Macaca fascicularis: one gene and its partner. The protein of the gene in region 1 interacts with the protein of each later gene in a biochemical or structural test. Links are inferred from orthologs where the notes say so. Each region holds a gene or a part of one and is shown on either strand. Other genes may lie near its edges.

Region 1 (4,426 bases):
GGAAATGCACTTCCTGCCCCAGCAGGCAGAGATGCTGTTTTATGCTCAGTAAATTAGGACGTTTGTTTAATTAAGACGACACACAGATTTTGTTATTCTAAATATTTTTGGAACATAATGCTTGGGAGGAAGCTGTCAAGGCATGGGTTTTTTCGGTTTGTTTGTTTTTTTTTTTTTTCTCTTCTTCCTTTGCTTTGGGTTTCTCTTTCTCCCCCTCCAAGAGAAGAAGGGTACGGCTCGGAGGAAAACGACAGCCAACCCCTCCTCTCCTTTTGAAATAAAGATGTCAAGCTGGTAAGGGCTGTCTTAAGTACTTTATTGAAGAATTAGCTAGAAGAGGAAGTAAAGGAAGAACAGCCAAGCTGATTTCTAGCAATACCCTACCAGGCTACATAACAATGCTGCATTTTTTGAGTGTGTTTTTCTTCTTTTAAAGCGCTAACAGATCCTTGTTTTGTTTTTTCTGGAGCAAGAGCGGGCAAAAGGCAGGCTGTGATTAACATGCGTCCTTCATCCTACAAGAGAGAAGTTGTCCCATCTCCAACCCCTTAGGTTAAAAAGTTTAAAAATAAAAGCAAGAAAGCCAGGGCCCTGATCTTCTCTTTCCTCTACCCTGCTGAACCTTTCAGATGAGCAGCCTCACAGAATGCTGCTCTTTTCTCCCGGACTGGAGAGCTCCCCAAACGGAGCCTGCCAATGCCGGCTCTCCAGACACCTGGATCTGCCCACCTGCGCTGCCAGGGCTTGCTGAGTATGAAGACTGAAGTTCTTTGGTGTCACCCCACAGTCATCTAGGGCGCAGTGGCTCTCAAATTACACTAAGCAATCTCTCCATGTTTTTAATTACCCTCCAATTACCCACAAAGAGGCTCCTCACTTTCCAGCACCGCGTGCTTGCCTCAGTTTGCCAAACCTGCAATGTGCTTCTCCCTTGTAGCAGCTCCCTCCTTGTCCCAGAGAAGTGGCCCCTCTCAGCCTTGAAATTCCTCGAGTCCTTTGTCTATGGCATACTTGGGACACACATCACAGGCTGCCTTTGTATTTCACTCGTTCTGCCACTTTCCCCTTGAGGACTGTAAACTCCCCAAGGGCAGAGGCAGGGCCCGGGATTTCACAGGGCAGTCTGGCTCCCTTCTCCCAATCTCCATGACTCACAGTACCTTTCCGGGGTCCCTGTCATCTCCACCTCACGTTAGACTCATCTACGGATTTGTCTCAGTTCTCCCCTAAGTGCCCATGGGCATGGGCCAGGTCTTACTCAACTCCCATCCCCCACCACCTGCCAGAGTCCCTGGCACAGAGAGGGCAGTTAAATATTTGCTCAATTACACATCTGTGTCCTCTTCCCCCCACATAGCAGCCTTGTATACAAACTGACTATTATTAATTGAGTGATTGTCTCAAAAGGCCTCCCTCCTTACCAAAAAGGAACTCCTAAGCCATCAGGTGAGCCAAACACTGGCCCAGACAGTGGAGTTAGAATGGCCACAGTGTTGCGCCGCATGGAGAAGGAGCCAAGGTTCTCTTCCCTTTCCACAGTTACTGAACAGTTACTTTGAAATCCTGTTAAACCCAGAAAAGGGCGCAGTGAACCGAAAAGTGGCTGGGCCTCTCAACTGCCCGGTGGAGAGAGCGCCTGCCTCCACGACCTGGGACTTCCCAAGGAGTCTGCTCTCCACACCGGCTGGGTGGGGCCGAACGTTCACCCTGCCCCCCACCTCAGGACAGCCGGCAAGCTAGTGCTGGGGGTGCTGCCTCTCAGTTTGAAACAGCGGGGCTTTCCTGGAGGAATGAGGATGCCGCCGTCCTATCTCCTGCGCGTGGCCCCAGAACAGGATGGGGTGGGGACTCCAGCACAGGGAAGCGGGTGCGGGGAGTGGAGAATAGAAAACTCCGATCTGGCTCAAACAGGAAAGATGCAATCGCCCAGGCCTGGTCGTAACGGCAGAGCCAGCTGCCGCCGCGCCCCGCCCGGGCAGGATGGCCCCTGGGTGCGGTGGAATCAGGTGCACGCCTGGGCGGCCCCGACGGCTGCTGCATTCCGGGCCTCCCTCCCCCGGGGAACAGAAGTCGGAGGTCGAGGGCTGGAGCAGGGGCTGGGGGTGGCCCTTCCTGCCTCGCGCCCAGGTCCCCGCCGGGTCCTCCTTGTCCGGGCAGCCGCCGCACCTCCCCCGGGCCCTCCTCGGCCAGCCTGACGGCAGCGGGCGAATGAGGAAGTCGGCCGCGGAGGCGGAAACCGGGCCGGGTGCAAGGTCTGCAGCGGGACGGTCCGACTCTGACTCAGGAGGACGCCCTGACAGCTGCCAAACGGTGCCCGCTGCCCGTTACCTCCGTGCCTCAGACGCCAGGAACTTCCACCGGAGCGGCTGCCCCGGGCTCCCAACCCGTGAGGCTGGGTCCCAGGGGCCGCGGCTCCCGGAAGGGGTTAAAAAGTTTGCCAGAGTCGGGCCTGGGCGAGGCGAGGCGAGGGCGGGGCGCGTGCCCCAGCGGCAGGGGGAGGTCGGCTCCGGTGCCCAGTCCTGGGACCGCACCGGGGAACACGAGGGGCGCAGGGGAGCGCGGGTCCCGAGGCCGCCCCTGCACCCCGAGGCCTCGCTGCCGCCGGCCCCCTCCCCGAGTTCCCGCGCGGGGGTCCCGGTCCCCCTGGGAAGGATGCGGTGCCGGGCACCGGGCCGCCGGCGTCCGCGCCTGCCCGCGCGGGTGGCGGGCCGCACCGAGCCCAAGAACCACAAGTCGGCCCGGCGGCCGCGCGTCTCGCCCCCGCCCGCCCGCCGCCGCCTGCCCGGGGCGGGACCGCGGTGGGGCTCGCTCACCTGAACCTGGATCTGCCCCGGGAACAGGAGCTGGTCTCCCGAGAGGACTTTCTCGAGCGCTCGGGCGGCGGCCGGGTGGGGCGAGCGCACGAGGCGGGAGCTGCAGCAGGTCAGCCTTGCTCAGCCTTCAGTGCCCTGCCCAGGAACCGCGGTGATCTGCGCGCCTCACCGCACCCAGCTCGGCTCCTCGCCGCCTTCCCGCCCCGCCCTCGGAGTCGCGGGCCCATTCCCAGCCCGGAGCCGGCTCCGGGGCGGAGCCTGGAGGCACAATCCCGCCCTCCTTCCTGCTTCACCCACTGCAGGCCGCGCCTGGCTTTGATGGGCAGACGTGTTGGCCTCTGGAAAGGGGAGTGGGCGGAGCCTCTGCGGCCAGATGGGTGGGGATTCATCCTCCTCTTTCGCCCCCACCTCACCACCCGCTCCACCTTCCTCCGCTTCCTAGGCGGGAGCCCCGCCCTCTAGGGCGGGTCCAACGGACAGCCAGGTTCTAGGATAGGATTGACACAGAGGGAATCCAATCAGGAGGCGGCAACTCGGGGCGCGGAGGGCTCCGGGCCGGGATTTTGGTGCCTTGCCTGGGCCGGGGCGAGGCCCGCCGGGAGCCGACAGTGAAGGTCTGGAACTCCCCGCCCCGGAGGCCGACTGGGAAGGTCTGGATACCCCGCCCCGCGAGCTGTGCTCTCAGTCTCCTGTCATCCCACCAGAAGGACAGATATTAAGTACCATATATGGGAAAAATGCTATTTTACATAATTATGATCCCTGTGGGGGCGGGCATGGACTCAACCCTGGATTCCATTGTGGGCGTCTTGAGTTCGATTCCTGACCCTGCCTCTTTAGAGACCGCACGTTGCTGCCTTTCAGCCTCCAAACCTTTGCTCTGGCCGTTCTTTCAGCCTGGAATACCCTTCGGAGCCTCTCTTCACCTCCATGTCATTAACTCGCATACATCCTTTCAGATGCTTGTTACAAATTGCACTTTTTTTTGTTGTTACTGTCCACTACAAGAGGATAAAAAATGTTTTCATTTTTAAATGAAAAATCTTTTGATCCATCTGGAATTTATTTTTGGGGTGAGGAAGAAACCTGACATAATTTTTGTAAAAGCCACTTGTCCAGACACTATTTCCTCCACTGATTTTAGTTGGCACCTTCATCGCCTATTCAACTATTTTATACTTTAAGCTGTTTCTGACTTGTATACATTGATCTTTCTGTGTGCACCTGTGCCAATCCTTCAATGCTTTAATGATGATACCTTTATAATACATTCTATATCTATGAGGGTAAATTTCTCATCCTTACTCTTTCTTACTGGAATGTTCTTCCTATCATGACGAAACTGTTCTTCCAAATTAACTTCAGAAAAAAAACTATGTTCTAAAGGCAAAAAAAAGCTGGGAAAAAAAAGATTTTGCAACTCTGTGACAAAGAATTACTATCAGCAGTATATAAAGATCTCTTCCCAGTTGATAAGAAAAACCTCAGCGGGGCACGGTGGCTCACGCCTGTAATCACAACACTTTGGGAGGCCGAGGCAGGCGGATCACCTGAGGTTGGGAGTTCAAGACCAGCCTGACCAACATGGAGAAACCCCGTCTCTACTAAAAATG
Region 2 (4,405 bases), on another chromosome or scaffold:
CTGGCCCATGTGCTGGTGGGGGCTGTGTTGGGAGAGGTTAGGGAACTTGCTGGAGGCTGACCCTCTGGAAGATCTCTACCGAGAGAGAGGCCTTTGAGTGTGGGCCTACTTTGACTGGGGCAGGATGTGAACACAGGCCCCTACCTCCATGCTCCTTACCTCCGCGCTCTCCAGGACTCTCTCAGCCTCCCATGCACAGGCCCTCTGAGTGCCTCCACTATAGAGATGGGGAGGGGTGCTACCGTGCCTGAGACCAGAGTCCCTGACCCTGCCCCAAGGTCCCAGGAGCCTTCGTGCTGTCTAAGCCCTGTGACTGCTCTGGGTTTGGTAAGTGCCAGGGCTCAAAAAATAACACCCCAACGTGTAAACCTCAGAAGCAAAAGTTTCTCTGTCCTGCTCCCACCCTCCTGTCTCCAACCCCTCCTTCTCCTCTGAGAGGCTTCCCCAAACCCTGCCGTAAAACCCAGAAATATGACTCCAGTTCTCCACTCCCTCCCCTTTCTGTGTAGAAACCAGCCTAAAGAAACCCCCTGGCCTGCTTTATTTGACTGGAGGTCATAAGAGCTCCATTCCAGAGAGGGGCCTACCCCACACCTAGAAGGAAGGAGAGCTGCTCAGAAAGGCCGCAGGGAATCTGACCCGACAGGCCCTGCCGGGTTCTCCTCCTGGTCTACGAGAGTCCGGCCGGGTTTTCCTCTTGGTTTATGAGCGTCCGGCCTTACTTTTGTGTCCAATCATATTTCCATACTTTGCTGAACTGTGTTTATGTTTGTAAACATGGACAGTTTCCCCCAGATCCTTGGGTCTTCATCTTGAAGGCTGCTGTGCCACATAAGCAACCATCAAATACATCTGTTATGCTCTTCTCCTATTCATCTGCCTTTTGCCCGCTGATTTTCAGCGAACTCCCAGAGGACGAAGGGGAGTTTTCCATTTGGCCCCACAGGGGAGGAGCCAGCGTGATTGAGGTGGAAGCTGGGCCTCTGAAGGACACAGGGTGTTCTAAGAAAGGGGTGACGGGGCAGATCCGTGTTCACACACACGCCCAGTGTGAATTCACTCTCAGACGTCTCCTCGTGTCAGCACGCTGGTGCCAGAACACTCTGATGTTGACACAAAGGGCCACGGAGTCACCACTCACTCCTCACACACTCACCCCGTGGCCGCTTACCCAGGGAGGGCCAGGGATGAGGACACCACGGTGGCTCAGTGATGGCCCCGAGACACAGGTGAACATTGTAAAATGCGGACGCCTGGAGGCAGCCCACACCATGGGCCTTGGCTGGGAGAAAGTTTCCAGAAAGGTCATCACAACGATGCATTTCATCAGAACTGAGCACATGAATGGGGAGGGGCAGGACTTCCTGAATGTCCCAACCCCACTGTCCCACCCTCTGTGTCAATATGAGGTTGCCTTATAAAGCACAAGAGGATGCCAGTGCGACATTTTCTCGGCCCTTCCAGCCCCCAGGAGGAAGGTTTGTCTGAATCCAGCACCATGACGGAACTGGAGACAGCCATGGGCATGATCATAGACGTCTTTTCCCGATATTCAGGCAGCGAGGGCAGCACGCAGACCCTGACCAAGGGGGAGCTCAAGGTGCTGATGGAGAAGGAGCTACCCGGCTTCCTGCAGGTGAGCCCAGGCCAGCAGTGCTGGACTCAGCAGGGCCTGGGGAAGAAGGGGAAGGCGTGGCAGGCAGAGGGCCGAGAGCTGCGGTGGGGTGGGGTCGGGTCGGCAGTCAAGGGGCTCAGAGGCAAGAGGGACAGATCCTGAAATGCCCTAGAAGCCCAGCCAAGGAACGGACCCACCTTGGCATCAAGGCAGGGGACGCTGGAGCATCTGAGCAGGGAGAGGGTATGGTCAGCTTGATCCTTGAAACATGGAGTTGACCCCAGTGTATTTGTGACAGGCCTGGTGGGAGAGTGGGGCTCAAACCTGTGCAGTGGGGGCAGGGGCGGAATGCAATCCAGGGCCGCCGTTTGCAAGTTTGCCAAGCCCTCGAACCTTCGGGGCTGTCCTCCAAGGCTGCCGGCCATAAACGCCCCAGCTCCACCTCCCACTTGTCCGCCTTCCCTGCTCCCATCCCCAGGCCCCTTGTTGCCTGGTATTAGTGGGGCTGGCAGGAAGGACAGGAGGAGGCTCCATCCTGGCACCTGTCTGCGCAGAGCTGCGGACCTCCCTTGGGCTCCCTGCCAGGGAGAAGCCACTGGCCTGAGCCTCACAGAAGGCCCCTTGGGGCGGCCAGGACCAGCTTCCTTCCACCTGGGGCAGCCTCCGTCTGGGCTGAACAGAAGCCTTCCCCTCTCCGTTTCCCCTTCTCTTTGACCGCTGTCCTCTCCTTCTTTCTCACTCCCCCACTTCCTTCCTTCCTTCCCCTCCCCTTCGGGCCCCACCAGATTCTGCCAACCTACCATCTAAGGGGCTGACCCACATGGCTGCTGATAATCGAAAATGAAAGCCTGACATTTTCAGCCCTAGAATCACTTCAAAGACATGAAACACTTCGGAAGATTGCTGCTTTTCTTTTCTTTTCTTTCTTTCTTTCTTTTTTTTTGACAAGCTGTCACTCTGTCGCCCAGGCTGGAGTGCAGTGGCAGGATCACGGCTCACCACAGCCTCTGCCTCCCTGGGCTCAGGTGATCCTCCCACCTCAGCCTCCCAAGTAGCTGGGACTACAGGTGCATGTCACCACAGCCGGCTAATTTTTGTATTTTTTTTTTAGAGACAAGGTCTCACCATGTTGCCCAGGCTGGTCTGAAACTCCTGGGCTTAGGCAACGCATCCACCTCGGCATCTCAAAGTGCTGTGATTACAGGCGTGAGCCCCAACACCTGGCCTCATTCTATTTTCTAAATGTAAATTCTGTAAAGATATCTTTTAAAAATAAAGTTCTGTTTTGGTAGAAAATGTAAAAACAGATAAATATGGAGGGAAGAAATCCCCCCTGGAATACAGACTCTTCCTCTCCCTTCCAGTCTTTTCCCCATGTGAACGTTGCTGTGAGTGGGATTTATATGCAGTTTAATTTCTTTGTGAGCTTAACATTACAGCATAAAATCTCAAACTCTGATGTTCATTAAACACCCCAGCCCCATCCTGGGAACTTGGGCTTGGGGCTCGGGGTGTTCTGATAATCATCAAAGGATGAGAATTGAACCCATGAGGACTTTGATCCAAGACACCGGGGTGTGGGGAAGCGCAGGTGTCCTGGGAACACACTCTGAGAAGCAATGGCTAAGCTGGGGGTCCTCAAACTTGTGTTACATTAGAATCACCTCAGGGATCCCAGGCGCGGTGGCTCACACCTGTAATCCCAGCACTTTGGGAGGCCGAGACAGGCGGATCACGAGGTCAGGAGATCGAGACCATCCTGGCTAACACGGTGAAACCCCGTCTCTACTAAAAATACAAAAAATTAGCCGGGCATTGAGCTTGCAGTGAGCCGAGATCGCGCCACTGCACTCCAGCCTGGGCGACAGAGCGAGACTCCATCTCAAAAAAAAAAAAAAAAAAAAAAAAAGAATCACCTCAGGGAGGCCCCGGGTGTCCTTCTCAGCCCTGCCTCCAGATGCTGCTGAAGCCTAGCAAAGCTGGAGTCGGAGTCAGAGAACAATGTCTGCCTGAGGGCAGGGCTGGGCTGGCCTTGTGGCCTTATCTCCTCCATGCCCAGCCCAGGCCCCACAGTTGGAGCTTTGTAAATACGAGGTGACTGGCTACAAACTTCGTAAACATCACTTGAAATGGCCGCAGGGTATTGTGACGTGGCCAAACCACTATTTGTTTGCTATTGAATTTATACTTCCCTGCCTTACTTTTGCTATTAAAAAACCATGCTGTCACTAAGGTTTTCATGCACACAGTTGTGTCTTGGTCAGACGATCTGTGTCTACCAATTTTAATTGTTTTTTTCCACCTGGACACACGGCTCTCTGGCCCAGGGCTGGGTCATCAGCACCCCCTGCTGCTGCTGTTCAGATCTGCATCCTGGTCCCTCTTGGTCCCATAGTGAGAATGCTTTGCCATCACATGGGCAGGCTCTGAGAGCCCTGCCGGCCTGGCCTTCTCAAAGAAGACCTGAGAGCTTGGGACCCCAAGCCAGGGTACCCAAGCAGAGAGGAATAACAGGGCTCAGGGTGGTCCGTGCTCGCTCCACACCTGGGACTCAACCCTGGCTTTCCCTGGCTCCCTGTGTGACCTCAGGGCAGGCCCCTTGGGCCCTCTGGGCCTTATCGTCTTCATCTGTAACAGGGCGATGCCTCTGCCATGCCTGGTGGTGTTGAGGAGTTCATGTTTGTGTAAGCAGCTAGTTCAGTGCTAGCACGAGATGGGATGCCCATGACGTTAGCAGTGCACAAAAATATAAGAGCAAGGACTGGACGCATTTCCTGAGAACAGCCATCA

Evidence for each region.
Region 2: the proteins of MYH9 (region 1) and S100P interact in a biophysical measurement, tested with the Homo sapiens proteins (2 studies listed by IntAct). The link is inferred for Macaca fascicularis from reciprocal best matches to the Homo sapiens genes MYH9 and S100P.

What each region holds. Positions count from the first base shown.
Region 1 is NC_088384.1:15,293,553-15,297,978, reverse strand, and holds the start of MYH9 (myosin-9), read right to left. Parts: upstream 2,974-4,426; 5' UTR 2,814-2,973; intron 1-2,813. UniProt on the Homo sapiens protein: Cellular myosin that appears to play a role in cytokinesis, cell shape, and specialized functions such as secretion and capping. Required for cortical actin clearance prior to oocyte exocytosis. Promotes cell motility in conjunction with S100A4.
Region 2 is NC_088379.1:6,400,695-6,405,099, reverse strand, and holds the start of S100P (protein S100-P), read left to right. Parts: upstream 1-1,445; 5' UTR 1,446-1,498; coding exon 1,499-1,636; intron 1,637-4,405.